Astyanax mexicanus: one gene and its partner. The protein of the gene in region 1 interacts with the protein of each later gene in a pairwise test. Links are inferred from orthologs where the notes say so. Each region holds a gene or a part of one and is shown on either strand. Other genes may lie near its edges. The genes, in order: nfyal and gtf2a1.

The links.
Region 2: the proteins of nfyal (region 1) and gtf2a1 interact in binary tests that used the Homo sapiens proteins (3 or more experiments, as listed by UniProt). The two-hybrid records come from large-scale screens. The link is inferred for Astyanax mexicanus from reciprocal best matches to the Homo sapiens genes NFYA and GTF2A1.

Annotation. Positions count from the first base shown.
Region 1 is NC_064419.1:41,611,468-41,627,734, forward strand, and holds the start of nfyal (nuclear transcription factor Y, alpha, like), read right to left. Parts: upstream 6,007-16,267; 5' UTR 5,875-6,006; exon of another isoform or gene 5,804-5,874; intron 2,927-5,803; 5' UTR 2,905-2,926; coding exon 2,830-2,904; intron 1,734-2,829; coding exon 1,647-1,733; intron 1-1,646. Other genes in the region: ngrn (neugrin), read left to right, coding at 10,885-11,108, 11,202-11,312, 12,559-13,177. UniProt on the Homo sapiens protein: Component of the sequence-specific heterotrimeric transcription factor (NF-Y) which specifically recognizes a 5'-CCAAT-3' box motif found in the promoters of its target genes.
Region 2 is NC_064408.1:88,788,116-88,805,048, reverse strand, and holds the start of gtf2a1 (transcription initiation factor IIA subunit 1), read left to right. Parts: upstream 1-8,035; 5' UTR 8,036-8,255; coding exon 8,256-8,285; intron 8,286-9,500; coding exon 9,501-9,602; intron 9,603-10,779; coding exon 10,780-10,933; intron 10,934-11,111; coding exon 11,112-11,176; intron 11,177-11,370; coding exon 11,371-11,455; intron 11,456-12,176; coding exon 12,177-12,310; intron 12,311-14,058; coding exon 14,059-14,160; intron 14,161-14,338; coding exon 14,339-14,626; intron 14,627-14,988; coding exon 14,989-15,078; intron 15,079-15,415; coding exon 15,416-15,523; 3' UTR 15,524-16,933. UniProt on the Homo sapiens protein: TFIIA is a component of the transcription machinery of RNA polymerase II and plays an important role in transcriptional activation. TFIIA in a complex with TBP mediates transcriptional activity.

The DNA of each region.
Region 1 (16,267 bases):
ACGACCACACAAGGCATGAAACCGCTCATGTTGCAGATGAAGCAGCATGCAATGTATGAAAACATAAAAAAATAAAGGCTCAACAATGAAAATAGAGGACTCTCGAAGACTGCCTTTGTGAACCTGCTGTGTTCCAAAGCCTAGGCTGAATTTGAGGTAGGATTCTCTTATGAAGACTCTTTTTCAGTAGCTCATTGGTCACAGTTAAACAAGGATTTGTGGTGACACCACATGCAAATGTGGAGACACTGTGACACAAAAGACATTTTTTTTCTTCAATGAATAATAATAATAATAATAATAATAATTGAATAATTTTCAACAATTCAAAAAGCTTAAAAAGATACATTTTCAATTTTTTTCCCAATGCTCATAGTGCTGTATTTCTTTTTTCTCCCCCATAACATTGTGGGTATGCAAGGGATAAAAAGGAGATATTGGTGCTGCAAGTAGACATGTCACAATGCCAATTTTTAGTGGGCGATACATTGTCCTAGAAAATGTTGCGATAAACGATATTATTGTCATTTTAGGACAATTAAATGTCACTGACATACAGTTCGGGAAATATACACTTAGTTCCCCTTCACCTACTGCCATAATAGGCCCGTAGAAGTTAAACACAATAGATATAACGATTATCAAATATTACTGAGGTCATGTCCATTTATTGTACGATAAATCGATAATGTAATTATCGTGACAGACCTAGCTATAAGGCAGCATTTCTAGTGGTACTACATTAAATTAAAGTGTCTTAAAATTTAAAAATAAACCAAAAGCAGATAAAGTTACTATCCTAGTCCTATAAAGCTCATATCTGTCAGCTGGGAAAAAAAACAGTTTGTGAAGTGGGAGTACCAATACTAAGTGACGTTAACTAATACTAAGCGTGCTAAGAGATACTGATGCTGATGAAAAACCCTAGACGAAACATTACATCATTTGGGCCCTTAAAATCACCCCAATTTACAAGGCCAATTACCCAACCCACCATTAAGACTCCACCCATCACTAGTGATGTCCCAACACCACAAGGGTTAAGACTAGCACATGCCTCCTCTGATACAAGTGAAGTCAACCACCACCTCTTTTACAGCTTCTGCTGATGTAGCATTGCCCAGTAGCATTACAGCCACTCAGAATAAAGCGCTTACATCAGCTCACAGACGCCTTGTGCTGATCGACATCACCCTTTGGAGTGAAGAGGGGAGAGAGCACCATCTATCACCCAGAGAGAGCAAGGGCAATGGTCCTCTCTCAGGGCTTCGGCAGCCTTCAACAACATAGCAGAGGAAAAATCAAATCTTTCTTGACTGCAGCCTTGGCTTTGGAACACAGCTACTCTGATATAATATACTAAAAGACCCATAATAAAAAGCCAAATAAATGACAAAATAATTAAATACAAATCATAAAATACATGACCCAATGAACAGATCCAGGGTGGAATTTCCAAAAGTGCTGAATCTAATGTATGATATACAGTAAAATATAGCACTTTACAAAGTCACATTGATTTGGAAACTCCACCCTGGCCCATTTTCAAACTGAAGCAATGCATGCTGGTCAGCTCACGCACAGCACCACAGACACAAGCTGCATGCGACAGAATAAGACTGGAAAAATCTCAGAGTTCTCACAACTACCTGGAGGGTCTGCACTTGCTGACCCGCCGCTGTAGCGACAGGCGCTTCGGTCTGCAGCTGTACAGCTGTAACTGTGCCCTGTGCCTGTGAATAAGCCCATATAACCATATAACTGCTAATTAACTCCTCATAAATACCACTTGTAGCTGTTTTCAACAGTGTTGCAGTTGTAACTTGGCACAGTGACATTTGTAAACCTGTTTTTCCAGGTGAAATGGCTCAGTCTGAATTCTGCTAGTGGCTCTACATTAAAGTGATTGCAGACATCCCACCTCTCCTGTGAATACCTTATATCCAGCAAAAAATAAGAGACCACTTAAAACGATGTGTTTCTTTGATTTTACCAAAGTGAAAACCTCTGGAATATAATCAAGAGGAAGATGGATGATCACAAGCCATCAAACTTTATAAACGTTATCCAAAAGCAGTGTGTAAGACTGGTGGAGGAGAACATGCCAGGATGCATGAAAACTGTGATTAAAAACCAGGGTTATTCCACCAAATATATATAATATACCTATAAATAGCAAAATCAGAGAAACTGATTCAGAAACTGAAGTGGACTCTCTTTTTCAGAGCTGTATATTAGCTGCTAGATGTGCTCCTCTATTGCTGTCATACACAATGAGTGAGGCCAAAGGACTATAATAGAATAGAACATAATAAATAAATAAATATATATATATATATATATATATATATATATATATATATATATATATATATATATATATATATATATATATATATATATATATAAATCTATAAGCAGAAAAATAATTTAATATAGTATAATAATATGGTACAATTGCATATGCTACTTTCACAGCTGTTTACATATTAATAAACATAGCTAGAAATTACAATAATAAATATATGTGGCTTGATGCTACCTCAATATACTGAGTTTTTGCGGGTTGGGATGTCCGTGATTGTGAGCAAAACTCTGGTTGTAAATATATTAGTTGGGGAAAAGGTGTGCTACAGGATTAAGCAAAAATGTATCATGCAAAATATTAACACCACTCAAACCAATTCCTTTCTAGGTCAAAAATGCACACAGGAATATAAACATCTTTAAAATAAAGAGTTCATACAAGACAAATTCACAGCTTCTGTCCTGTTAAACAAAAAAAAAAACATCACACAAAGACCATAAACAACCTCAAAAAGAGCTTACCTGCTGTTGGACTTGCCCATTAGCTGACTGGACTACTATCTGCTCCCCACCTGTCGTGGAGTTGTACTGCTCCATTTTACTCCCAAATTTTACCAGCCTAGAGAGAGAACGCATTTTTTTTTTTTTTTTTTTAGCATATATCCATTATAACTAAATAATAGATGTAAATATGTATATTATATCAATAAAACGGCAATAAACGAGTACAAATGCAATTTGAGAGCTGTATTTTTTTTATCAGGGGTGACCAATCTTATCTGGAAATGGCTGGTCTATGACCAGCTTTCAGCCCAAAATGACTTCAAATGACATCACATTCTAACTAGTTTAGCTAAGCTTTTACTAGGGATGCACAATGACATCAGAATTACATCAGTATTTTACAGGAGAAACCTTTCATTATATTGTTTGTATGGAGTTTGAAAGATTGAAAGCTAAAATGCAAGGTATATAATTGTTTCATTTATTATATAAGAAGTTATACTGGGGTGTCTAGTCTCTTTGTGAGTGTAAAATGTGTATATCAGTTTAGGAAGATATGTAAGTATGTAATATTAGATATTGGCATTAGCCCAGAATTCCTACATCAGTGCATCCCTACCTTTTAGTGGTAAAATGTGCATTGCATGAATTGGCAAATTTATTTTTCAGATGCTAATTAGAAAATTAACCCCACAAATGACTAGTCAAAATCACATTAAAAGATAATCACATTAATCAGAATGGCTTTGTTAATCTGTAGTAGGGGTGTGTCATAGCATATCATACACAATACATCGTGCTAGTAACATTGTGACTTTAAGAAATATCCACAGTAGGGTAACAGAAGCGTTCTGCTTTGAAAACAGTCTATTGTTTACTGTGAGTCTTTATGGGTATGCTGCATAACATACACAATATATCATGACACAGTAATATTGTGACTTAATAAATATAGTGGGAACAAGATCTTAATGCATGCCCACAACTTAAGGCATGGGAACAAGAATTAAGTCATGGGGACTTATGGGCTTCATAAAAAATTAAGTTTTCATTAGTAAAACGTTTTACATGAGACCTATAAAGTAAAAACTGAATTGGGACTTGTAGCTACCACTGTTGAATGAAGCTGCAAGAGCTCAATAAACTGGCAGCAAATCAATTATAACAAATTATAAAATGTACTTTACCAGGTAAAATGTTAAAGTTTAGCCAGCTATCCTACCCTAGTTTGTTTGTTTGCAAGTCCATGATTCTCACAAACACTGAGGCTCTGTTTGGGCTCGCAAATAATATAACTACAACATTCTGCAAAATAGGACCTTGTATAGTATAGTACTTCTTGAGAACAATATTGCAAGAGCATCCCGATTGCTCGATCTTTGTGCTCAGTATACTTAGCAGTAGGGGTGTGCCATATCGTATCGTACGTGATAATATCGCCAAAAATGTTGAATATCGTGAACGATATTATACCCTGAAATATTGTGCCATATCACCTACACCTTATTAGCACATCAAAGTACCACTTTTTTGTTGTTTTTAGCTAAATAAAAATTCACATTCATTTCTCATTTCCCATTATATATCTACTAGAGCCAGATTATATCTGTCTAGTATAGGGGTGGGCGATATGGCTCTAAAATAATATCACGATATTTCAGGGTATTTTTGCGATAACGATATACTTGGCGATATAGGAAAACAGAAAAATAATTAATTAATTTCAGAAATATAGTATAATAGTATAACAGCATAATCATAATGTGGCAAAATAAATAACATAGCATAAAATAATATAATGCAGCAAATAATATTGCAGAATATTTAGTGCATGCATATAAACTACAAACTAAAACAATTATACAATAAATAAACCTAAAGCTTCACAGTAAATAGACTACTTTTAAGACAGAACATCTCTATTATCACAATATGGATTTTTAATATCACGATATTTCTGTGTCACGATATATTGTATACGATATAATATTGCCCACCCCTACTGCTAAGTCTAGTGAGCACAAAGACAGACCAATTAGGATGCTCTTGCTTTATTGTTCCCAAAAGGACCTGGTATAAAATGTCATAATTTGCAGGATCTTTTAGCTATATGATTTGTGAGCCTCACTGAGCAACTGTTTTTTTAGTATTTGTGATAATCATTGAATTCACAGGAGAGGTGGGACGCCTGCTATCATTTTAATATAGAGCCTCTGGAGGGATTCAGACTTACAGAATAACACAAACATGATATAACCTTAAAACACAGCTTGTAATTAGGATAGCTAGCTGGCTAACCTTAACATTTACCTTACCTTTTAAAGGTAACTTAGCTAGCAGTATTCTCAATAGGTAAAACCATTTCTTTCATAGTGCTTGGTTTCAGTTTAGATTTGCAGCTCAATTTCAGAGTTCAAAAACAAGCTAGGGTTAGATATGAACAAATTATAAAAGGTAACGTTTTTTAATTACATTTAAAGGTAAAGTACATGTTAAGGTCAGGCAGTTAACTAACCTATCTAAGTTATTTGTTAGCTGTGCTCTGAGGTTAGGTCATGTTTATGTTAGCTAGAGTTAGCTTAGCTAGCTAAACAGGCTGTTGTTTTTGAAGCTACTTGAGCTAACCATGCTAATTTCAGACAGCACACTAAACAGGTCCGTTAGCTGGGTGAAGTGAGAGATTTTTTGTAGTTTTTGTATCTTATTTTTTATATTTTTCCCTCTCAGACCGACTGAATATCTAGTTAAGCTAGGTTAGCTAATAACGCGCAGGGGCGCACTCGCCCCCCGGCCCGCCGCAGTAAGCGGGCTGCAGCCCGGGCTAGACAGGCAGGCAGCTCGCCAGGCTAAGCTAGGCTAGCTAAGCTCCTTTGTCTGCGGGCTGCTGGAGCTCCAGCGCTAAACCCTCCATTTTAGCCGCGTTAGTGTCTCCGAGCCGCCGGCCGCCCTGCTCTCGCAGCGCCGGGCTGATCTCAGTATTTAGCACATTTACTCATTTGGTTGGTCACTGATAAACCAATCCCCGCTGTCAGCTCCGCCGCCCGGGAGCCGCGCGCTCTTTACCGTGTCTCTGTTGTCCGGTGTCCCTCTGATTGGCTCCAGTACGGCGCGCAGAAACCCAATCACCACCGCTCTCCCACAAAATGGCGCAAATGAGGCGCGCGGGGGGCAGGAGCTTCAAGGAGGGAGGAGGAGGAGGCGGCGCGCGCAGGCACGCAGAGGTGACGCGCATGGGAGGGGGGCGCGTGCGCAGCGGGAGCGCGCATTAAGTGTGGGAAATGAGAGATGGGGCTTAATAACAATTGAAATACTTAATAACGTTACTATTTTGGCTACGTATTAGGGTGATTCTCACGAAATCAGACTAATGAGGTGGCATTAAGGAGTGTGATGAACAGGTAAATGCTATCAATTTGGGAAACACTGGTTTATAAACATCTCATCAAAGGCTATATTGGAAGTGATTAAAAGTAGACATTGTGATATTTTAAATTATGTATTTTTTATAATTTAGTGTGAAATTCTCAGTACCGCAACGCGTCCATTGCTGAATCTCGGCTCTTCAATTACACAATTTTAATATTTAAAATAAATAAATAATAAAAAACTTAAATGTATCTCATAAAGTAAATTGTTACAGTCAATAAAAATGTATTACTTGGAATTCATTGGTAAAAGAAAAGAAAATATTTAGAAAAATAACTTTGGTCAGAACCAATGTTCTCAGCCTCCGCAACAATTTTCAAGCACCATTTAAGACCACAAGGAACAGAAAAAAAAACAGCCATTTTGAGAGGGGGGACACCTTTTAGTATGACACCCAAGATGGCTACCAGGTAAGCACCTAATTTTATACCTCTCCAGATAAATGTTAAAAACTTGGTTGTCAGCGAGCATACACAACTTTTTGTTTCTCATTACCGAAACAGCTAGTTTTTAATGTTTAAAAAAATGAAAATGTTATTGTGTTTTGGGAATTTTTAAGGTTTTTAAAGTCTAAATACAAAAAGCTAGCAAAAGTTTAGCCAGGCATCATGGTGGCCCCACAGAGATCAAAGAAGGTTAAGGTCCCTCATACTCCGCAACAGCCTTCTCATACACCGCAACAATTTAAGGCCTGTTGCGGTAGAGAGATTCACTGTTGCGGTAAAGAGAAATTAATGTTTTAAGTGACATGAACTTATATATATATATATATATATATATATATATTGTTTCATAAAAAAGCCTTTATTTACTTATAATAAACAATATATAAAACAATACATGATGCAATTTCAGATAAAAAACAGATTTATGTAGCAGGGCAGTGACACCCATATAACTTCCGCATAAGATATAAAAAATAATATATAAAAATAATATATATATATATATATATATATATATATATATATATATATATATATATATATATATATATAATATATAATTTTCATATATATAATATATACATTTCATGAAACAACTTTTATTGTTATAAACTGTTAATAAAGGTTGTTTCATGAAATTTATTTTTATAAACTTTTATTGTTATAAACTGTTTATATGTATATATATATATATATATATATATATATATATATATATATATATATATATATATATATATATACACATTTTATGAAACAACCTTTATTAACAGTTTATAACAATAAAAGTTGTTTCATGAAATGTATATATTATATATATGAAAATTATATATATACACACATATATACATTTCATTAAACAACTTTCTTTAATTTTATCTTTAATTTTAATTTAGTTGCACATTGATGTTTACATTTTTCATGAGATTAATGCTTAATACAAAGATGTTTAATGAGATGTTGAATTGCTTGTTTCATACTTAAATATTTAATTTCAATTTAGTTGTACATTGATGTTTATATCTGTCATGAAATTAATACTTAATAAAAAAGTTGTTTTATGAGATGTTGAATTACTTATTTTGTATTTAAACATTCCATTTCAATTTAGTTATACAGTGATGTTTAAAGTTTTAAGGAATTTATGTCTAATGAGGTATGTTGAAATTTGTTTTATTAAAATACACAGTTCAAAATAGGATATTTTCACAGCTTGAGTCTTACTGAGATTAATTTTCAACAGCAAATACCACATTTTGTTCAATATTACTACTCCATACAAAACTCAAGAAGTACATCATTAGAATTTGTTATTTATTCACAGCATTCACACTCTGTGTTTGTTGTGTAAAGTGTTATTGTTAATTAAGTAGGAATCCTTGTAATGACTCTCTTTACCGAAACATTGACTCTCTTTACCGAAACACCATTCTCTTTACCGCAACACATATTTATTTACTAATTATTTTACTGTTATAAAACAAATTCTAGTTTATAATGGTATTTGGATAAATTGTATTTCTTCATAGGTCATCTGTACTAAATAAGAAATTATACATGTAATTTTTCAGTTAAATATCCTGAAAAGACAGGACATGAATCATGAAATCTGTTGCGGTAATGAGACAAATCATAAAATAAAAAAAAATGGGAAACTTATAAATATAATATTTTCTGGGTTATATACACATATGAGCACAACTGTTAATAATATCTATTTAAAAAGTAACAAATGTGTAACTTTTAAACCATATCTGTTCTGTGTTATCATGTTGCGGTACTGAGAATGTGTGTGCTCTGACTGACTAAAATGGTGCAAAATATACAGAAAAAAATTATAAAATTAAAAAAAAAAAGTATTTCTAAAAAGTTCAGACCCTAGTCTTGCATAACAAAAAGAAATTTTATATTTAAATGCCTTTTGAAATTTTTCAAGTGTGAACCCTTTTAAATCTGTTTTTCGTGAGAATCACCCATTATATATAAATGTAGATTCTTTAAAAACACTCCAAACTGTTTAGTGTTTAAAATAATTTGGCTCTTGTAGCGAATATATGTATTCTTACAGCAGATTCTATCTAATTTACTTTTTATGTCTAATGTAATTTAATTTATTTGTTCTAAATGATAATTCAGATTGACAGACTCTGGTCTCTTGATTTTCAAATAAAATGCAAAAATAGACTGATATTCAGTGATAATTTGGAGAGCCATGTAATCTGCTGGTGTTGATCCACTGTGTTATATCAAGTCAGTACAAAAGTCAGTGCAGTTTTGTTTTCCCGCAAAATCTTACAGCACTTAATGCTTCCCTCTGCTGAAAAATTTTATGGCGATGTGGATTTCATTTTTCAGCAGGACTTGGCACACTGCCCATACTACCAGAAGTACCAATTGGTATGTTTGTCAAAATTCTAATTTTCGGAGAAACTGATTTTTGGATTTACACTGGCTGTAAGCCGTAATCATCAAAATAAAATAAATTAATGATAAAAAATAGATCATTCTGCGAGTAATAATTCTATATAATATATGAGTTTCACATTTTGAACTGAATTACAGAAATAAAGCAACTTTTCAATGATATTCTAATTTTTTTTTAGATTCACTAGTAATTTCAGTTGACGATCCAAAAATCCTGCTTCACATTCCAGATCAGCAGGGGGCGGTAATGAACCTGTAAGTAATGTATAGGTCTGCCTAAAGAAGAAGAAGAAGACTTCAGTGCGGTTGCTGAGCTGCGGGTTTTTGGAGTTAGATACAAGATTTTATCGAGTTATAATAACTTATCTCTCAGTATAGAGCGCGGGCTCAGGACAGGTAACGCCCTTTATTTTTAACACCTTATTTAGAGCTGATAATTCAGTCTACAGCGGGTTATCTTGCGGTGGTGAGCCGTGTGAAGAGGCTGAGCATGGCTTTTTCAATTAAATGACCCGGTCCACCTTAAACAGCGCAGCACTAACTTAACTGACAGATACTGAGCTATTTACAGTAACAGTGGCTCCTTTTTAAGGTGGTACGAGGAATTACAAAAATTAAGAAATAACCAAGCCATATTTATACTTTAATTATATTCGTACAACAGTATTACTGGATATTTTAAATATATGACCAAATAAGATACCTTGTCTACCTTAATAATAAAAATTATACAGCTCTTGAAAAAATTAGAAAGCACTTAAAATTATGTGTTTCTTTCTTACAACCAAAAGGAAGATGGATGATCACAAGCCGTCAAACCAAATTGAACTGCTTGAATTTTTGCACCAGGAGTGGCATAAAATTATCCAAAAGCAGTGTGTAAGACTGGTGAAGGAGAACGTGCCAAGATGCATGAAAGCTGTGATTACAAACCAGGGTTATTTCACCAAATATTGATTTCTGAACTCTGCATTTTTTTTTGCTATTTCGACAATATGACAATATTTTATTGGGAATTTAGGAGAAATATTCATACTTTGTTAGATGTTCAGTATTTCAGAGTAATGCCAATGAGGGAGAGAGTCTGATTTAAGAGTTTAGTCTTCTAGTCTTTTATAATAGTGTTTAGATAATAGAGCTGCACGGTACTGAAAAACACTGACATTGTGATTAGGGGTGTGCCATATCGTATCGTATGCAGTAATATTGACTAAAATTCTATACGATAAAGAAATCCATATTGTGATATCACAATATTCTTAAAATGATTCTATTTTGTATTTATTTGGTTATTTACTGTGTTTATTTTTAATGTCTGCATTGTTTATATACAGCACTAAACATTCTACACTTTATTTTTGTGGTAGATTTTTGTTGTTACATTACTTTTACATAATTGTTTGTTATATGTTGTATTTTGTTACATAATTATTTTATACAAACATTTTTTATTTCATCTGAATGTATGTAACTCATGATTATAATTGAGTTGAGTTAATGTTTATTTATTGTACAAGTCGATTAATGTACTTATCGTAACCGGCTTAAATAGAACTTGTATATGTATTACTGTTTTGTTGCAATAGTATATTCCTGAAAATTAGCATAGCCACCTTTTAAAGACCAGCTTGGACTGTCTGAAACCAGCTACCAGCTATATCTAGTCTTGAGTTGGATTTTTCAGCAGGCGTGTAATAATAATAATAATATTATTTATTTTTAATAAATTAGGTCACCATCACATTCAGTACAAGGACACTCTTGTCCACTGGTCAGCATGCTCAGCTCTTTGAGGCTGGTCCGCTGGATGAAGCTCGCTGCTTTTCCAGGACCTGGAATTGCACCAGTTCAATGCCACGCCAGCCATGATGCCCGCATGTGGATGAACTCTGCTGGGAGGCTGTCAGCTGCAGACAACAGAGGAAGAAGAAGGGAGGAGGATGCTTATGAGGAGGAGCTTGATACAGATCCTGTTGAAGCCAAACTGGGGTTGCTTGAAAAGTAAGTCAGAGCATGAATTCATGAATTTGTGGATCAGCAGCTTGTCTGGTTTCACTGTTAGGTTGAGGTGGTTGACGGCTGGTTTCTCTGCAGGGAGGAGCGAAGAATAAGAAACGCTACCAAATTTCACAAGATCAGGAGGCAGATGAGTGAGCGTGGAGCCCCTGAGAGGAGACTGACCTGGGATGCAATTGAGCAGATAAGGTACTTTCGTTTTTTGAAGCTGACCTTAAATGGGAAACCATATTCACCCTGTTATAGTGGAATAATGAGAGAACAGAAAACCTCCAATACTGTCACTTTTTTGACTGCAGTAACTGTTGATATTTAAAAAAAAAAATCTAATCTCTGTGTTTATACATTTCTTATTGCTCTTTGAACGCTTTTTAAAAGACATGAAATGAGTCCTGAATCACCTGGTCAAACTGTCCAGTCACACATTCATAAACCTGGTTGCTATTGTGTTGCTTAGTTTGTGCTAGCTGGATGCTTTGGTGTTCCTAGGTGGTTGCTAAGGTGTTTCAATATTGTAGCTGTTGTTTGCTAAGGTAAATGCAGTTTCTATTGTAAAATGTTGGTTGCTAAGTGGTTGCTATGCTGTAGCTTTTGGTTGCTACAGGATTGCTAGGCGGTTGATATGGAAAGGTGTTTGTTGCTTGCTGGATGCTATGGTATTGCTAGGTGGTTGATAAGTTGTCTTTACTGTAGTTGATTGGTTGCTATGTTGTTGCTAGCTGGATGCTATGGTATTTCTATTCAGTTGCTATAATAACAGGTTGGTTGATTAGCTTACACCTTGCTGTATCAATCAGTCACTAAGGGATTTGTAGGCAGTTGCTGTGGGAAGGTTTGGTGTTAAGTGGTTGTTAGCTGGATGCTATTGTATTTCTAGGTGGTTGCTAAGGTGTTGCTCTACTGTAGCTGTTGGTTGCTACAATGTTACCGTGAAGTTGCTGTAGTAAATGGTTGATTGCTAAAGTGTGGCTAAGCAGTTTATAAGGTGCTGCTAGGTGGTTTAGATGATGCACAATATGTTTACTGAGTGGTTCCATGTACGATCCAAGTGCTTGCAAGAATGTATTGGTGTCCATATCAGTGGACATTTCAGTTGTGTTCACTGTGAAAATCTCAGCACCTTAATAAAAATAACACAATATTTAGGTTCAGTCATGATAGGGGGGAAATACATTTTAAGTAGTTTTAAATGTGAGGTTTTTTTTACTTTTTTTTTTTTACTTCAGTTTCTATTATTTTACTTATGATTTTGAATAAAGATAATATTGTTACAGTAAAGTATACAATTAACTAAATGAGTTTTTTTTTTTGTTTGTTTGTTTTTTTTTTTTTTTTGGAAAGTGCCTGGGACTCCCACTTGCATCCAAAATGTTAAGTCTACAGAATATAAGAGAATATTTATACTATTATTGACTTGATGGTTATCTATTCACAGATACCTAAAGCAGGAGTCTCCGCAGGAATGGACCGTGCAGAGATTAGCAGAAGGTTTCTCAGTCAGTCCCGACACCATCTCCAGAATCCTCCGCAGCAAGTTCACTCCTCCTCCAGGAAGAAAGATTAAACAGGACTTGAAAGCGTTGGCTACAGTCAAACCTCTTTCTCTCAGAGACGGACAAACTGACCTGTCCAAAAAGGGCCAGATCAGACTGCCTACGCCAGACGGCTCTGTGCCACCCATGCTTTCCTCAGGCAACACTGGTGCTTTGACTGCTCTGAGCCCTGAAGCACAGGTACCAGCAGAGTTTGAGACTGGACTGGTTCCCTCTGGTGGTGAACATACATCACTGACGAGAGGAACATCTCAAATATCACTTTTCCCATCTGTGAAGCAGAGTGCATTACAGCAACAGCCCAATGAAAATCAGGAGCAAATGGAGGCTGAAGAAGCAAAGATTTCAGAGACTGAGTACGAATCGAACTCTGATAGAGTGTTCCTCACGGACACAGAACTGGAGGAACTCATTCATACACTGCAGGAAAAGCCCAGTGCAGTGGAACAGAAAGGCAGGGAGTTTTTTGACAGTCAAGGCAACTTTCTGTACAGAATATAAGGATAAGAATCCATGAATCCTGTTCATGTAGCTTGCCATCAGCTACCAGAGCCCTGAGCGAGCCAAATTGGCTTTGCTCTTTCTGGGTGGCTACAGTAGATGGCGCTTGCTCCCCACATCACTCTAAAAGGGTGATGTCGATCAGCACAAGACGTCTGTGAGCTAGTGTATCAGAACGGATTCGCTGCACTTTCCTCCGAGCGCACTGTGATGCTACTCGGCAATGCTACAGCAATCAGCAGCAGTTTGAAAAGAGGCGGAGTCTGACTTAATATGTATCGGAGGAGAGATTCACCCTCATGGTGTTGGGGCATCACTAGTAATAAGGGGAGTCCTAATGAGTGAGTTGGGTAATTGGATGTGTAAATTAGGGAGAAAATGGGGGGGGGGGGGGAATTGAAATAAAATTATATACAAAAATATATATAAATACTAGGATAAGGAAACCCCTAGCAGTTTGTTACTTGATAAACACCAATAAAATCGCTTTCTATAATTTGTTAAAGTGCGTTGTGTTGGTGATAATGTTTGTATGCCTTTTGAATAAAATGTTTAACAAGTTTCAAAATCAAACATTAAGTACAAACCTTGAAACAAAATTGAACAAAAAACTACACACTACATGCAAAAGACACATACATGCAAAAAAGTAGAGTAGCAGTGTGTAAACACTTGTAAAAGTTGTGAGGTGCTATCTTGTGAGTGAGGCTTGTGACCAGCGTGCTCATGGTAAGGCAATGTGTCATACAATCATACAATGGTGCTAATGACTGTGACTGGCAGGGTCTGGCTATGATTGTCCGAGCAAACAGATAAGTCATGGGACACAATACTAGTTCCTGTTGGCATATCAATATATGTAATACCTAGAATACACTACAAGTCTATGCTCTGTCATGACCTTTTGCTTGTAAATATATTTTCTAATGCAAAACCTAAATTTGAGCTATTGCACAAAATTAAAGCAGATATGAAGGGTACAAGTAAATTTATTTGTCAAACCGATTTCCTTTTCCAAATATACAGAGCGAAAACAAAACAAAAACAGCTGGTACAAAGATGATGCAGGTTTATATTTACAGAGAGCCTGCTTTAAAGACCATTATATACACAGATTTTCAAAAGCAAGAAAAATGTGAGCAGAAAATTTGACTTCAAGTAAAAAAAAAAAAAATTAAGTCATCGCTTGTGCTGCAACCACCATCCCCAGCCTTAGCCCCAAGCAGGGTGTGATATTTGCAAAGTTTGCATGCACAGAAGTGTCATTTACAGTGGAATCTAGAAGACAGCAAGAATAGTTTCATGTTTAAATGTATTGCCTGAATCTAAAATTGCTGTAAATCTCAATGTCAATCTCATGAAAAACCAGGAGTCCTTCAGTCTAAACTCCTGGCCTGTACTGCAAGACCTTCACTCAGACAGACAGACTGATACGTTTAAACCATAGACAATATATATATATATATATATACCAACCGTTCTGACACCTCCAGTTACAAAGTAATTCCCAAAGAAATAAGATACACAGATCTGCTTCTTAATTATTAATTATTTAACAGGATTAACTTTTTTTTAACACTTTTTTTCTGAAGGCACACCCCATACCACCATTGTAGGCACTTGGAACAAACGCATACATGTAGATCAGTACTGTTTACTGATTACTTCTCTTAAATAATAAATAAACCCATTCAAATGTGTGTAACTGAGGCTTATCTGCCGCATAAAACAAATTGTTGTGGTAGGATTCAACATAAGAACAGAAGAAATACATCATAACATAAAACAGCAACTTAAAAGGGTTTGAAAGAACAAAGACTATTCTAGAGTTTAAGATGACTAAAAGGGGGCACTGGTTTGTATTATAGGACATCTTTAATTCAGTCCTCAGGGACCTGCTTCAACTGTATATTTTAATTCTCTTCTGGATTCAAATAACATCAGAGCCAGGCAATCAAATGGTGTAAAATGCTGAATACCTGCCTTAAAATTGTCATATCAAAATTATTAGATAATAGATTAGCCAGAAAAGACCTTAACTAAGGACTGAACTGAAAACTCCCAACAGACAATCACTGACTAAACTATCTGGAAACACTGGTGAAAAAGAAAAAGAGCATCCTTATAGAAAGAGGTAAAGTGTTCTATTGCATTCCATTATTAAAACTTGCAGAAACTGCAAAAGCAGGAGTCAACTGCTTGGGTTCTTCCTTCAATCTTATTTAACACAGTCCGACATAGTCAACAAACAATTGTTACAAACACTGGAGCCACCGATTTTATCCACAAGGGTGCGTCAGTGTGGCTTCTACTAAACTCAATAATGGTGGTCTGAGACACATTTGGGGTCCATTCAGAAAGTCTAATGGTCCTGTCCTTTCCCTCCATTTCTACTGCTCCTCTATTACCCTGCAAGAAGTTGGAGGAATTGAAGAGGGGAGAGGAGCAGGTGGAATGGAGAGAGCAAGCAGTAACTGGGGAAGATAATCCCTTTATGATGTTATGATTATCATTACTGATGAAATGAGCCAAGCCTATCACAGCTGCTGCAAAAAGCCAGCACATGCAGCAATCTCATCTGTTTTATTGTGTCAATTGTGAATGTTTAAAAACCTGCCGATTGCAGAGATACATGTATACAGTATAATTGGACTATAATTCCTGCATAAGCTATGATGGCAGTCTTTATCTTTAAAATACTTAAAAACATAAAAACATCCTGGGTAGGATACTCTTGTGTATCCTCCACTGGAAGGTTTGATGCTTTGATGGCAATTTATATCATCTTTTATCTCCTCTGGTAGTTAAACAGACAACAAGATAAAAAACTCTTTCTGGGTCACAGAGGAGAGGAGGATCAGTAGGAAAAAAAGAAGTCACTTTAAAGAGTTAATTAAAGAAATTCTTTAAATTCTTTAATTTCTTTAAAAACCCTTGGTTTGCAGGAATAAGGACATTCCTACCAAACAGTCTAGTCAGGCTCTGCCTGTGGTCTCTATTTCAGCTTTATGGATAAGACTGGTGACCACGCTAATACAAATTGAACATCTTATATTTGCTCATATCAGACAACCTGACCCAAAAAAAAAA
Region 2 (16,933 bases), on another chromosome or scaffold:
GAATTTGTGGCCTAATTACAGTGGAATAGCGGAGAGACATGAAACAGAAGTGTTTAGTGTTTCTAAATGTCAAACAGTACAAATTGTATTGTATAAAACTGTTATCAGATTAACTGCCCTTGTTATATTGTTTATTATTGTCCCTCATCATGCACAATTCCATGAATTTCTTGCAATTTATGTACTGTGGGATGTTTACATGCAGATGAGCCTCTTTATCACCCAAGCTCCAGAGCAAACTAACAAGAAGACTTTGGAAATAAAGTAGATTTAAGTCATTTTTTGTTTAAAGCAAAAAAAAAAAGAACTCGGGTTTGGAGTATGTGTGAAAACAGCCCATGATATCTCTACAACCTGCTGCTCTTACTTTGGGAAGTGCCAAAGATAATTCCTTTTAAAATGAGTGCAAGCTAATCCTCACGTTTAATCAGAAGACTAACTCACAAAACAGTGATGTTAAAACAGCCTGTGTGTTTCCTGTGTTCATTGTTCTCATCATGTTGATATGACTTGTTGTTTCTCTTTTTCAGGGGTGCACAGCTCTTTAATGAAACCTGTAAAATAAGTAACTAAGATTAGCTGAGCAGAAGCCAAGGCTACACAGTACATCAGTATTTTTTACTAAGCTGGATATCCTAATATTCTGAGGAGCGCTGTTTCTCCATGCTGAGCTGTAAGTGATCCTAGTGCGCAGTAAGCCTGCCTCAGCCTCTAATGTCTGCCAAACATTTTGCTACCAAATGGAAACATTTTCATAGTTCCAATGATTCATCTGAAGTTCCCAAAGGGACTGGATTAGTTTTACGCGTCTGTAAAACTAAAAATAATTTTACACATCTCCGCAGTCAGAAAACTCCGGATTTGATTGGTTTGATTGGTTTTCTGTTCATAAAGTTTACTGTTTAGAAAGTTTCCATTTTGGAAAGTTTTTGATTTGCAATAAGCAATGTGTTTAATCTCTGTGGACACGGCATAAAACACAGCATAAAACACCTGCCTAGGAAGAGAGCCTTGAGTTTGGATGGGACTAAAATGGTCAGACTAGTTCAGTGAAAAGCTAAAATTAAAGCCGATCCAGATAAAAATTAGATCATAGACGAGCTCATGTGAACACAAATTATCCCACGACACTAATGCATTTAAACCTGTTTGAATAGAACAGACTTAACCAATCTTGTCAGCAAAGGGCCGGTGTGACTGCAGGTTTTCATTCCAGCCAAGCAGAAGCACGCCGCTACATATAAGGTGACTGACCACCTGATTAAACAGGTGCAATCCGGTCTGCTGATGATGGTTTACAATAAAAATCTGCAGCCACACCAATCCTTTGTGGATGGGACTGAACACACCTGAAATCCCATTGGATTTTATAACACAGGGCATAAACATCTTGCCACCATGAAGAAATCCATGTTTCACTGCAGTTGCCAAGTTTAGGAGGCTTTAGCATTTGAGCCTCTAAAACAGGGACTAACACAGTAAAGGTCTTAGTCAAAAGTGAGAAACCACAGCTAATAGTGCTGCGTGTACGTTAGAGGACGTGGAAATGAGCAGGGCAGATAAATATATAATTATACCCATTGCAAGTACAAATTTCAGTGTGTGTGTGTGTGTGTGTGTGTGTGGGTGGCATTGAGCCTTGCTAAATGCTCCCAGTGTTAGCTAAGCTAACTAATAAGCAGTGAACAGACTGGACCACTGTTCTCCCCTTCTCTCTAAAGCTCCACATTTTTTGTGCTCACATTACAATTTAACCACTCCCCAATTCCAGCAAGTTTTGAAAAGGTTTGATGGAGTTTCATGTAAAACAGAGGAATCAAGTGCTAGCCTTCATGTGAAAAATGGAAAAACAGCTGTAAACATCATGAACATGAATGTACTCAGTTTGTTTTGAGCTGATTTAGAGAGGGAGTAGCGAACATATTCAGTAACAGTAACGTACTTTAATCTTAAAGTTACAATAGCTGTAATTATGAATTATGGGCTGTGCACTCCTGAAATTAGCCATTTTCTCATTTTACATAACAAAAAAGAAACTGGCAAATCTTCCATTCAGACATTTAGCTAAAGAGCAGGTGATATTTTTTAATGTTTCCAGCGCATGTTAAAAATGCAAAATCAGATGCAATATATGAACCCTTTCTGCCAAGTGTGATGTAAACATCTAGAGTGAATTCATAACTGAAGCACACTTAATACAAATATGTGTATTATATGAAGCAATGCCTATTGTGTTACAATATCAAAACGTACCAGTCTGTTTTTACTTGATTTATTTGATTTATATTGTTTTCTAGAACAACATCATTTTGGATAATAATGGATAATTTGCAATTTTGGATAAGTGTAAAAAAGATCAGAATTTTATTATGACTATTTTATTATTATTTTTTTATTTAAGCATATAATTTAGCCGTACGTTTTCTCAGTTATACTGCATGGGTGCTTGTAAATAAGAAGGTATTTTTAATCCACCATACTCAAAGATTAACGTATGATAGCTGATGTATTTAGCATGAAGCATGACTTATTTTCCTACGACGGTAGAACATTAGAGGTTTTTCTCTCATTTTTTTATCCCGTTGCTGTACGGATGGTGTATCTTTTCTGCAGACGACTCTTCTAACAGAAGATACTTTATGGATTTTAACTCTCTGGAGCTCAGGATTTTTATTTGGGCTTCAGGTGAAACCGATGCTGTTTGTTTGCGATCCTCAGTTTTGGTGGTCCACAAATTGTCAGTGTTGTTGTCCAGATATTGTAGAGAATCAGTGTTGAGTGAGTTTTCACTCTTTACACCCTTTAAGCTTGTGCCTGCCTTCACTATGTGTGCTCAACTGTCTTTATATGGTTTTATTTTTTATTTGATTTTATTTTTGTATTGGTGTGGGTAGTTTAAATCAGATTAATGGGCCCATATCAGGATGTTTCTGACATTTGTTAATATAATATTATATGAAAACATTGCTGAAGTTTCAAAGCCTCTTAGTCCAAACAGATTATATATGGAATACAAATCTAAAAAATCAGATGGCACAAAAAAATGAAACAAAATCTTAACCTAAATCAAACCAATAAAACTGTAGCTGTTTAGCCACACCCATTCATGATACAGAGAAAAGATATGGGCCCTTTAATTAATACAATCAAGTTGGCATTAAACGTTTGTAATAAGGATGCATGATGACATCAGGATCATATCAGTGTATCTAATCCCAATTATTACCATATATTTGACATGTCCAAAAGTATCATTACAGCCCACTCTAATAATAGAGTTCAGTCACATTGCTGACATTCACACACAGTGTGATCTACATAGCACAGCATTGACCAATTAAAAGGGGACACTCTGGAGCAGTCATGAGCACATATAACCATAAGGTCACCATGCCTAGTGCAAAGCATGGGCTGACAGGGTATAAAGCCCACCAGCACTGGGCTGTGGAGGAGTGAAAATGTGTTCTTTTAATATTGAAGCTGGAGTGGAACAACTGTGAATCCACCGTCAGTAACTGTCCTCACTGATGCTCTTACTCTTGGGGCTGAATGCAGTCAAATCGAATCCTCCTCATATACAGTATTCCAACAGCTAATGTGAAGTCTTCCCAGAATACTAAAGGCTGTTAGTGCAGCAATTGATCACAAACATCCTGTTAATACCCTTGATTTCAGAAGCAACACTAAAAGTGTTTGGACGTGTGGCATTTATGCATGAAAAATATCACATATTGTAATCCTGCTGTTGGAATAAGTAACACATTTGATGAATGTCATTATAGCTTCATTCATCTCAACACAATCCCACTTTACATGGCCCAGAATAAGCTTTCTGTGCCATGAAATTCACCTTTAATAATAATAATACTCTCTGCTGGCAGTATATGTTATAGCATATATATACCTTTGGAAGCCACAGTTACCATCATCAATAGTAAAGTCATGTAGTTTTATATAAAGGTTTTCTGACCCAGAAAGGTTTTCTGTGTAGAAAGTGCAGATTGTAAACTGTGAATCCATCCACTATTTGTACCATTTGTGGCATCAAAACAGAAAAAAATCAGAATTGTAGGCTGCTCCCTGTAAAAGCATTCCGAATGTTAAAACAAATCATTAAATAACTCACTAATTGCATTGTAATATAACAGCACTCTTCTTGTCTTCTAAAGGTTAACATGCTGCTGAGTTTTGATCTTTGAGATTTAATCCACACCACAATATGTAACACACTGTGTATATGAGCATAGCCTGCTGTTAATACGACACTTAATAAGACACACACAAATTCAGCTCTTGAGTCGAGTTTGTAACTAATGCCAACATGACTCAAGCAGAAGTGTGCATGAGGTTCAGGAAAGGTTTTTAAGTTTCGTTTTTTGTTTCAACTCTCTGCAAGTTTTTAAACCACCACTAATAGAATAGTGATATGTGTCTTGTGTTGTTGACACTTGTCTTTACATGGTATTTGTGTCCAATACTCAGATAGCAATCCCATGCAAAGTAAATCTGCCAATTTTCTCAATGTGCAATCATGACTGCCAAAGAACACGTTCATGACTACCTGTAAATAACTTCACACTCTCTTAGGTAATGAAAAAAACAATGTCATGTCTTTACAATCATTTGTTTCACTTGAGAATTACATACAATGTTTATGTAATGTATTGTCTTCCAGTTGCAATAATAAAGGATCCGTTTTAAAGGGATTTTTTTGTGCAAAATTTCTTTCAATGGTATTAAAATTATTGCTTTACACTTGATGGAAATTTGTACTGTAAATATGCAATACTATACTGTAAAACATTTTACAAGTTCATGACAAGCCTATAACATTTATGAGCAAAGGACAAAAAAGTAGCTAATTGTTAGTAATTGGTTATTTAAAGTAATCTGAGTTGATGCCAGTTTTCTAAATCTGCTTTACTTTAAATGCCCAAAATCCATTGTTGTTACACAACACGGGGTCAATAAACAAGAACGTGCTGATCTTATTTAATCACATGCTACATGCAGTGATGGTGTATCCGAAAAGAACATGTAAATCTACATTAAACCAAACATCCCACCACATCTTCCATTCTCAAATTATGGCTTATAAAACAAAAACAGAGGAAATATTGTGCTTTAATTGCCTAGGTTCAGTCTGCCACTGAACTGCAGCATAAGCACAAGATAGAGGAGCAGTTAATGCTAAAACTAAAGCAGTTTTAAGAAACATGGCATCACAGAGTATTCACCCACACTAAAAACAGTTATTACACACAAGCAGCTCACAAACAACAATTATCAGCTCAGAGTGTGTGTACTCTACACACACACCACAGGAAAATGACTTCACTGCAGAGTTTTAAAGGAACAGTGTTGAAACTCTGCATTAGCTCACAAAGGATATGTTCCAATTGGGTACTTCTAAATAGATTTGAGTATGAAGTATGTAGCATAGATAAAAGTATCAACGTTTAGTATACTCAAATATCCATAGTGGATGTTTAGGTTGTGTAGATTGAAATAGCAACTCTCTTTGCTTCCTGTTAGTACGAAAACAAATTAGTATGGTATTATTCTGTGTATTTCACCTGCTAAATTAACGCCCTGTTCTGATTGGCTGCCTTTTGTCGAGCCTCAGTCTGCTGTTTTGACATGTATAAAGAAGTAGAGACCTAGACCTGAGTAAAAGTACAAGTGCTCTATCAAAAAAGTTATTTGAGGAGAAGTTAAATTTGAAGTATTTTTTAAGCTCCACCCTTAAGGGGAAGTACTAAAATATTCAACAGTTTTTGTGTATAAGTATTGCAAGTAGTTTATAGTAAAATGTTAAACTAAAGTACTGAGTGTAAAAGTACAGTATTGTGTTGTGTAGTTATTACAGAAAGCAGTGGAAAGTTCTCAGAATGAAAGGCAGAACAGGAGCAGTGAGGTCTTCTTATAAGACCTCATCAACATGATCGATTGATTTGCTCAATGATGAGTAGCTTAATCTAACCCGGTGACAGTGCAGATCATCTACCGCTCTGGCTTTAGTGATAATGTGGGTTTGGAATAATTTCTAACATTTATAAAAATGATAAAATAATAAATAATACCCCAGAAGATACAACATTTTAGTATTTATGTACAGTAGCGAATTAAATCTACCGTATTATTAATCTCTGTAAAGGCTGAGTATATACAGTTGTTTCTGAATATGGCTGCAGTTCTTAAAGACTTGAGTGAACAGAGGTCTCAGACTTTAGGGTGAGTGTAGTGAAGTGTGACAGCTGAGGGTCATTCATAATTAAACACACACAGCCCTAATGACCAGACCCCTCTCTGAGCCTTTGCACAAGCAGCAGCACTCTGTTGCTATGGAACCACAGGAGGGATTTTATTTTTTTAAACTGTATGACATCACAATACGCTCACATTGAATATATTGGGTCACCTGACTGTAATGCCCTACCTCCTGCTTTCATATCATTGCATCCTTGCCAACTCATAATCATTTGTGTCCCTGTAAATCTATATAACTATTCTCTTTACTATTCTCTCTTTAAATTTGTTCATGATTGACAGTTTATGTCATGTTGTATTATTTACAGTTTCTGTTCTAGAGAATTTTTTTCAGATGATTTTTTCAGAAAATTGTATTTGTTTGGTATGTTCAGGTATGTTTAGAGGAGTAAAGCATTCGACCCAAAAACACAGCTCTTGTATATTGCACAAAGTGAATAGAATAATGAAGAGGGTCTATTTTCAAATGTTTTAATACAACGTTAATCCATCAGCAACTATGATATATTTGAGAGTAACTTCTGCTCCTTCTATAGCTTAAATTGGCAGTGGTGGCTCAACGGTTAAAGTACTGGGCCAGTGGGCCATCGACTCCTGGGTTTGGCAGGCTGCCACTGTTGGGCCCTTGAGCAAGGCTCTTAACCCTCACTGTTCCCTGATAGCTCCGGATATATGTTCAACAATATCACTGTGTGTTTTCACTAGTGTGTATATGTGTGTTCACTGCACAAATGGGTTAAAGGCAGAGGCTAATTAACTACAATGTGGGACTAATAAGACATGCATTAATATTATTATTAAATACGATTTTCTTGTTTAAATTAACACAGTGCAAAAACAATACAAATCATTACATAATAGCATATTAAATATATTCATATTTCATACATATTCCATCTTTCCATTATGCTTAATTCAACAAATAAATAAATATAGTGTTTAAAATGTGAATAAAATGGCATTTAAATTTGCTGTTTGAAGATTTACTTATTTTGACTTTGAAAGCAAACGTATATCAATTTATGTCATTTCAACATTTGAATAAAACTTTAAAAACAGCATAACTTTGCAGATGGGGTCATTTTTCCACTGATCACACACACACAAACACACACACACATACACAGTCTGCTGCCCTCGTGTGGTGGAATGCAGTTATTATTAATATTGGTTAGATTAAATGTATTAAAAGAGTGTTAAATGGATTATCACTGTTATCCAGTCCTGCGGTCCTATATAATGCACTTTAAATCTAATAGAGAACTTGTGGTAAGGTGTAAGGTTTTTTTTTTATGTATTGCTTACAGTACATCATTTACCAGGGAGCTTAAAACTATTGTTCTGCTGTAGAATTCTATTTTAATTTTGCTGTATTATACGATATTTAACTATGTTTGGTAATTTTGTTATTATGTAAATGTAATATAATATAATATAATAATTATAATCAAATTAATCATCACCAGCACCAATTTTGTTATATATATATAATAATTTGATTTATCTACTGGCTTTATCTCCAGTTAAAAATTATGTGTAAATATATATATATATATATATATATATATATATATATATTACCCCTCTATGCATATTTTGGTAATAAAAAAATAGAAAATAACGTAGTTTTATAAATGTACTAATTCTTTTTAAGCGCCTCCCCCGCCTCTTTCTCTGTGATCCGGGTCCTGTCTCGTGCCTGGCGGTCTCGCGATACCGTGACGCAGGCGAGCTAGCTATTTGACGCATGCGCAGCAGCCTGGCTGTGTGTATAAAGCAGCACGACGGCGGCGGCGAGACGGCGGGGGACGGAGCCCGGGACCCGCGCGCTGATATAGCTTATATACCGAGCTCACGCAGCCCACCGGACAGCGCGCGGCTTCACCTACACACCTTATGCGGGCAGCTGCGGGGCGCGCGACCGCTCGGGTGTAGTTTAATCAGAGCTGCAGCAGCGCGGCGTGTCTGGCGCTCCGCCCGCGGTAATGGCGAGCTCGGCTAACTCTAACCCGGTGGTAAGAACCCGAATCAGAGAGAACGAGGCGAGGGCAGTGAGCAGGCACGAGGGCGTGGAGTGCCCAAAAGCGGTGAACAGAAAGCAGCAGCAGCGCGTGAGAGCGGGGCAGTGTGACCTGCGCGAGCGGGTGTGGAAACCCAGCCCATGCTCGGCCTTCCCTCTAATAAAAAGTGTTAGGCACACGAAATCGGCCATGTTAAGTCCTGTCTCTCTGCAGGCGGGGCTCACAAAGCAGCCCCGCACTACAACTACTACTGCTGGAGTGTGATATATATGTATATATTAGTTACTAACTACTATAAGATTACTGTTATATATTATATATTACAGATAGTGCTGCATTAACAGTGCTATAATAACGTGCGTTGTCTTAGTTTATCTACAGGTTTACTGGGATACTCTCTCTTTGTATTTAACGATAACTAACTGTCATTGTCCGTGTGCTGCTGTTACTCCGAGCTGTGTATATATAACTTACAAAGCCCCAATACTCATATTTTAGGTTTAATTCTGGCTTTGTATCATTTTTTAAAAAGCTGCACCTCCTGTACACTCTACTCTCATTCATCTCCAGCTAACTCTCTCCAACCAAGTCAGGCGATATGATTAAAGTTAGCTTTTTATTGGAATTCTACCGTTCCACCTTAAATCCCGCAGCGCTAACATTCCGGTGCTGTTCAGGCGCCAGACTGTATCCGCTGCAGGATTTAAGGTGGAACGGGGTAAATTCCAGTAAGCTCAGAGAGAGGGAGCCACTCCGCGCTGCAGTTAGTTAGCACTAGCCTCGCTCCTGCGCTCCTCTGACCCTCCCTCCCGAGCAGCCCGGGTTATATACGGCCCCGCGGCCGCTCTAATATCCACCCAGACCGGGATGGGAAGGCGCAACTCCGCGCCACGTCACCGCCGGAGCTTTAAATAGCACGACGGACGGAGGAAGGGAGGGAGACCAGACTAGGACATCAGGGACTGGACACTGTGGGGCTATAGCTCTCGCTCTCTCCATAACCCTCTGCCTGTTCCTGACACCTGCTATTCATCTGTTTAGGCTTATTTTAAATCATTATGGGCCATGCGTTGATTATTATTATTTATTATTATTATGATTATATTGCACTTAATTGAATACTGTGCAAACCGATTGTACAAAAAAAAGAAGAAACTCTATGGTAGTTTAGTATGTATTCATCTGCCTTTAATGATGCTCCCTCTCCAGCCTAAACTCTACAGAAGTGTGATGGAAGATGTGATCAATGAGGTCCGAGAGCTATTCCTGGATGAGGGTGTGGATGAGCAGGTCCTTATGGAGCTCAAAACGGTAAATGAGCTTACCTTTATCTGAAAAGGCCACAAAACATTTTAAGAAGCTGTTCAAATTGTCACTTATTTTATTTTTTTGTGTACACTAGGGCTGCAACTATTGGTCAATATAAATTCATTTTAACTTTGCAGACTACATATTTCATTGTCGACTAATTGTTCATTTGTAACTGTACCACATACACAAAGTGTCTCCAAAGGTGCCAAAACACAACAAATTACATATTTAAACACTAAATATCAGCACTTTCCATTCTTAAACATCATCAGGAATAATAGCTGACTACTCGACTAATCGAAAAAACAATCAGATTAGTCGACTACCAAAATAATCATTAGTTGCAGCCCCAGTGTACACATACAAACCTATATTGTACACACATTGAAAACCCCCCAAATTGTTTTGCTATTTTAATGATTGTTTCAGGATGTGCTGAGAGAATAGTGAAACTCTATTTGTTTTCCTATAAATAGACAGCCATCACTGAATGGTGGAAAGAAGAATGTTGATTGCGGTTAAAGTGATATTACATAAAATAATAATCTAGTTAAATTAGTATTCTATAGGGTTCAGTCAAGCCAGCGCCACTCTGAAGGCAACCAATAAAGTCAAAATGAAGGATGTTTGTTTTAAACTATTATTTACAGTGGGTAGTCAAATATATTTTATCGTTTTGTATTTATAGATATATATATATACTGATATAGATTTTGATATCAGGCATCCATATACTCCTACGCATTAGTCTGGACTAATCAAACCAGTATACAGTGAAGTGTGCGATTAAAAAAAATCATACCCTTAAGCTTGTTCGTTGTTGTACGGATTGTATATTTAACTTATGACGTAATGACTGTGACTTGTTTAAAGTAAAAAAAGTATAAATCATTTATCAATAACTAAGTAATAAATAAAAAAATATATAAATTTGTAAAATGAATAAGGGTCCGGTTGTCTCCAGTCGTGCCCTTTAATGGCTTTTTGTGCTGTGGTTACTAGACCTGAGAAATGCTTCCTTGATCACCAGTGCTGATTCAGCTTTCTCAATCAAATATCTAAATAGTGCTGACTGATGCCTCCTTGAGTCATTGGTGTAACCCTCAACTGTGGCCTGATCAATAACAGTTATGTGATTAAATGTGACCTGCGCTATTGATCCGCTGTTGTGTTGCAGCTGTGGGAGAGTAAGCTGATGCAGTCGAAGGCTGTGGACGGCTTCCACACTGAAGAGCAGGGTGCTCTGCAGGTGCAACAGCAGGTCCAACAGGTTCAGCAGACCCAGCAGCCCAGTCAGCCACAACAAGTTCTCCTGCCACCGGCCCAGCAAGGTCAGAACAACATGTACTTGTACACCTTTACAGTTGAATGACCTTTTTTTTTTTCTTTTTTTTTTTTTATTAGTTTGAAGCTTCTCTACAAAAACGCTTTATTTATTTTAATATAATACAATAACGCAAATTAATATGGAATACTACTAAAACAAGAACTTGCTTTCCCCACAAACAGCACCACAACAGCAGGTGATTGTACAGGATTCCAAAATCCTGCAGCACATGGGTGCGACCGGCATGGTAAGTATATCCTTGCCGATGAGAATAAAGTTTCAGTTTCTGGAACTCATGCTAACTGTACCAGATTACAGCAGGTGTCACTTTGAAAAAATATTGGTGTCTTACTCTGCTATTTTATTTTCTGTTTAGTGAGATTAATGTGACTTTTTGTTTCGTGTTTTAAATTAAATACATTTTCTATGATCAATGTTAAGAGCGCAGCTGCCACAGCGGCAACCTTGGCGTTGCCTACCGGAGTAGCAGGTGTAGGGCCCTACCAGCAGCTCATCACAAGTCAGGGTGAGAACATCTGATGTATTACTTTTTAGATTAACATTAAATTAACATTTAGATTAGTAGTGTGTGTAGTGTATTATGATAAGTTTTTTTTTTTTTTTTTTTTGGCTGGCCAAATAAACTGCGAAAGCCTTCTTTAAAAATAGCAATGTGAGAATTTGTATTGCTTTTAGGCTCTCCTGATAATTTTATCCATCTATCTCTTTCATCTACACGTGGATTTCTTAACAAAACTATAATACTCTTAATGAAAAATTTCATCTGAGCTACATTACATGATTTTACACTGTTACCGGTTAATCTGGTATTTTTTGGGGTCCAGCCAGTACATTCAACTATGAAGGAAGTACAGCTCAATGTCAGTGGGCATTCAAACACAAGGTCTTGCACTGTTAAGATTTTCATCTAGTCTGTAAACATTTAAGACTGAGATATGCTGTCACAGTAAAATCCTTATTAGTTTAACAATATTAGCTTTCTCTTAATTTGTTTGAAGACTATATTGTTGTAAATTAGTACTGTACCCCCAATAGGACTATTAAAATGGGCTATACTTGGACGTATTTGTTTATTTTTAGTTGGACAATTTTCAAAATGATGTCCTTGCACATGTCCATCCTGTCTCTATATACATGCTCAGGTCTTGTTTAGAGTGTTAGATGGGGTAATTGGATTGTTGACTTGCAGAATAAGCTGGATTAAATTGTGACTGGTTGGTATCCAGGTCAAATCCTGCAGGTGGTGAGGGCGGCTAATGGAGCTCAGTACATCATCCAGCCTCAGCAGCCCATCATGGTCCAGCAGCAGGTCCTGCCCCAGATGCAGCCGGGTGGAGTGCAGGCCCCCGTTATTCAGCAGGTAAAATTTAACCAAATCTCACAGGCAAGAAAATATATGTTAAGACACTAGACTTTTTGATGTTTGTATTAATCTTGTTTTAATGCCTTAATAAAAACAAATTTCAACACTTTCAACAATTGATAAGTGGTTAAATATACTATTATGATATTGATCAACTGATAACATTTAATAAAAAAAATATATACATTTGAGTGTACATAGTACACGTAGTGTAAAAACACAACTGTTCAAGAAATGGTGAGCTTCACACAAGGTTTGTTTTACTTGATCATGACCAAGTGAGCAGGATGGTACTGTGAGGTATGCACACTGTTACATTGCTGAGTTTGCCATTCCAGCTGTTCCAATAAATAATCTGATAAATCAGGTAATTGGGCAGCTAGAAAAGTGTTGCAATTTTGGGAGACTTTCCTAGCAAACTCAAGACATAACGCCCCAGAATAGTCTAAGCTACTGCCATGTTTGCTGTATTATTGCAATATTCAGAGTTTACCTTACATTTCATCTATTTGTGTTTGTGTACGCAATTATTCATCTTTTATACAACAGTTAGTTCCGACCTCACAATCTGATTGGTTGAGAAGTGATCTAGCCGTTTTGATATATGTGATAACATCACGGCCTTCTCACACTAAACCTGTATCACTCCGCGGACGCGTTGCCGAGTAACGGCATATACACACAGGGCACCCGCAGCAGCGTTAGCTTAGCACAGGCTAACGCTCAGCCGGGGCACGCTCGCCCGCAGCGCTGGCTCGCCTTTCATGGGGAAAAAAGGGAAAGGAAATCGCTCGGTTAATGCCGTCTGAGAGCCAGAACGCTAACCAGCCAGGCTAGACTAAGCTAAGTTTATGCTAAGCTAAAGCAAGCTACGCTAACCTAACCACCGTCCAGCCGGCTAGCTAAAACCAACACCACCCAGCAAAACAAGCAGAAATGCTCAAAAAATGCACAGCGTTCACCTGAAGACGACTCAACGGAGCAGGAGAGGAGAGTATTAGCGTTACTTCACGCTCCTAACGTTTACCATCTTCGCTTATTCCCAATTTTGACTTTCGTGGTGTTAGTCTGTATGAACCATACACCGTTTTGTAGTTCAGTTTCAGTTCTGTTAGTTTTTGTGGACTACTTTTTGGCGGAAGGCACAGTCCATATTAAAGCATATTCACTCCTAATTTCTTAAAGATCTTTGATTTATTTTCTTTATTCATTTTGTAAAAAAAAAAAAACTGTTGTATAAAAGCAATAGAACACTCGAGGTCGTGTGTTATCACGTATCATTACAGATAGGTTTACCCTGTTTGTGTATTATGATTTACTAATAATATATGTTCATAATTCGTGATAACACACTCCCTCTCGTGTTCTATTGCTTAAATAAAGCATACAACAGCAGCCACTTCAGAAAGTGATCGAGGTGTTTGGAGACCATTTTTAATTTCGGTTTAGTGTTATTTATTAAACATTTAATTTACAGCAGTGCCAGCATGATGCTAATTTTGACAATTAACTGTCAAATTGATTGTGATGGTAAAGCTATCTAGACCAAAGTTAAAAGGTTTAAGTGTATGGCATCTTCACATTCCCAGTGGTTAATACTATGGCCTATAGATATAGATACTATTCATTACAAGCAGTAACGTGTGACTGAGTGTCTAATAAGAATAAAGACATTAAGTTCATTAGTATGCTGCTAATGGAGAAACAACACTAACAAATCTCCTCTTTGTTTTGTATCTGTTTAGGTCCTGGCTCCTCTGCAGGGTGGCCTCCCTCAGCAGACGGGAGTAATCATCCAGCCGCAGCAGATAGTCCTCACAGGGAACAAAGTGCAACAGAATGCTCAGGTCAGCATAGCAAGGCACACCGCACCTTTTTTTATTGTTTGTTTTTTGTGCATGCCTTTATCTTGGCTCATTATTGCATTTTTATTGTTCTTATCGCCTAATCCTTTAAAAATGTACCTTTATCTGAACATGTAATTAATTGGATTGTGTAGTTACTTACCTTGTGATTTTGGTTCAGGTCATGCAAGCAGCCATGGCTGCGCAGGCAGGTCAGGGAGCTGCACAGATCCAGGCCCAAGGCCAGCCTCAGCCTCAAGTACAGTCTCAACAGCAGCAACCAGTGCAGCAACCACAGCCGCAAACCCAGCCGCAGCAGGCTGCCCAGCAACAGCCACCCATGATGCTGCAGGTGGATGGGGCTGGAGACACATCCTCTGAGGAGGATGAGGAAGAAGAGGACGAGTACGATGAGGACGAAGATGAAGACAAGGATAAAGATGGTGCGGAGGACGGCCAGGTGGAGGAGGTCTGTATCATTGTTTATATCTGCACACTTCTAGACATCTTTACAACAATAGTCAGTTGTAATACAGAAATGAGCACATTCAGTTGGGTTGCTTTGATTAAGCTTCAAAATGGGCAGTAATTCACTGGTTTGTTTGATTGGATGATCATGCTTTCACATGACAACATCACTAATAATATGTTCATAATTTTTAAACGTTTATTTTTTTTATATATATATATATATATATATATATATATATATATATATATATATATATATATATATATATATATATCATGGAGCAGTGTGCATATGTTGGGTTTGAGCTCAAACTGAACATAGTAGTTGTGTTTGTGCTTTAACCATCCCTGTCCTTACAGGAGCCTCTTAACAGTGGCGATGATGTGAGTGACGAGGAGGACCAGGAACTGTTTGATACAGAGAATGTGGTGGTGTGTCAGTACGATAAGGTGTGTATACTTGGGTCCCTATTACAGAAGAACCCTAACTCCAAAATGTATCGTCACCATCAGTTGATTTTAGGATGGTGGTGTATTCTTGACACAAGTTTTTATTCATGTACACAAGTGTAATTCAAATATATTTGCCTAACATGGTGTTACATACTGGTGTTTTAATATAATTATAATCAGTTCTAAAAGAAAACTTACAGACTGCACAGCCTTTTCCTTCCTTCCTTCTGTTTGTCTAGGCATAAAGATGAGTGTTTTGTCTTATGCGTGGATGCTTGGTTTACAGCAGTTGTTAATTATTTAAACATGGACATTCTTTATATTTTGCTTTTAGATTCACAGAAGTAAGAACAAATGGAAATTTCACCTGAAAGACGGTATTATGAATCTGAATGGACGCGATTATGTCTTCTCCAAAGCTATCGGAGATGCAGAGTGGTAAAGAAATGGAGAGAAAAAAAACTGTTGAATGAGTATGCAAGACTTTAGGCCCGGGATTATATGACCGTCAGAAGATGCACATGGTACAGGGATGTGGAGAGGCATCCCTGTACTGTCTGTCGGGTGATGCTTGAGCAGTGTCGAAGTCCTGTACCTTTTTATTGGTGGATCTCCAGTGACTGCCCCCTTTTTATTTTTTATAATTTTAATTTGTATTTTTTTTTTTTTTTTCTGGATCTTCCTTTTATTTTAACAGAAAATTCTGAATGCCCAACCTGAACAAAATCTGTATAAAGTAGAGGCTGTCTTGAGCAAATATTGTAGTGCCTCGAAGTAGCTGTGAAGTCCCCAGACCTGGCCCCAAACCCCCTCCTGGCGTGTACTTTTAGATTACTGTGTGCTGTTGTTGGCTGTAATGTAGTTCTGAATAGATTTGGGTTTCCATTTTAAGATAATCCCTCGTTAATTAGGTATCTGCCTACTTGGGTTGTCCTGAATTTCCCTCTGTTTTTGCCAAGTCATTGCTTTTAAATTTTTGCCACACATTTTTCCATCATTAAATACGAACACTAAAAATGTCCAGAAGCAAATTTAAGTCTGATCCATTTACCTCTGATTCCAGCTAACGTTTGTCCTTGTCCCACACTCCCCTTTTTAATAAGCCAATGATTAGATTTAGACAAATGTAAACATTTCTCAAACTAGCTCAAGTTTTCGTGTGTTTGTCTAATACAGTATTTTGCAGCTGGTTAAAGGTGTGCGCTGTCGGTGTGACGTGTGGTTATCATAGCATGCTTAGTCCCAATGGCTTTAATCTCGCGTGTCTGTGTGCGTGTGGAGTCACTGCTCAGCTGTGTCTTTAAGGACTCAAGACAACCCTTACAATACTTTTAGTGCGGTCAAACTTGCGTTTTTATGTTTGTTCGTTTTTTGTATTTATTCCTGAAAGCTCAGGCACCATCACGCATTGGGGATGAGATTGCGCCACACTGTGCTCTTATGAAAAAAAAAAAAAAAAAGAAGTGTTCCTTTTCTTTCTGCTGTCTCGTCTGCTTTAGAAGGTGACTAAGCTGTTCCATCAAGTCTTTACCTGTTTTTAACATTTTATTTTTTTTCTGTTTTAATTTTTGTTTTTTCCTCCCTCTCTCCCAATTCTAACTCATTCTGCAACTTGTTCAGAGACATCTCTCTGTCTTTTGTTTGCCAATTGAGGTAAAATATTAACGAGTCCTATTATAAATGTATTTGAACAGATTGTGGTGTATCAGATGGAACAACTTGTCTCTTTGAAGGGTTTTTTTATATTAATTTTAGTATGCATTTCTCCATCTTGTCCTTTTCATTCTTGTTTGTGCCTTTTAACTGATTTCAGCTATCAGGTGTTGAAAATGGTAGCAATTTCATCTTTTTT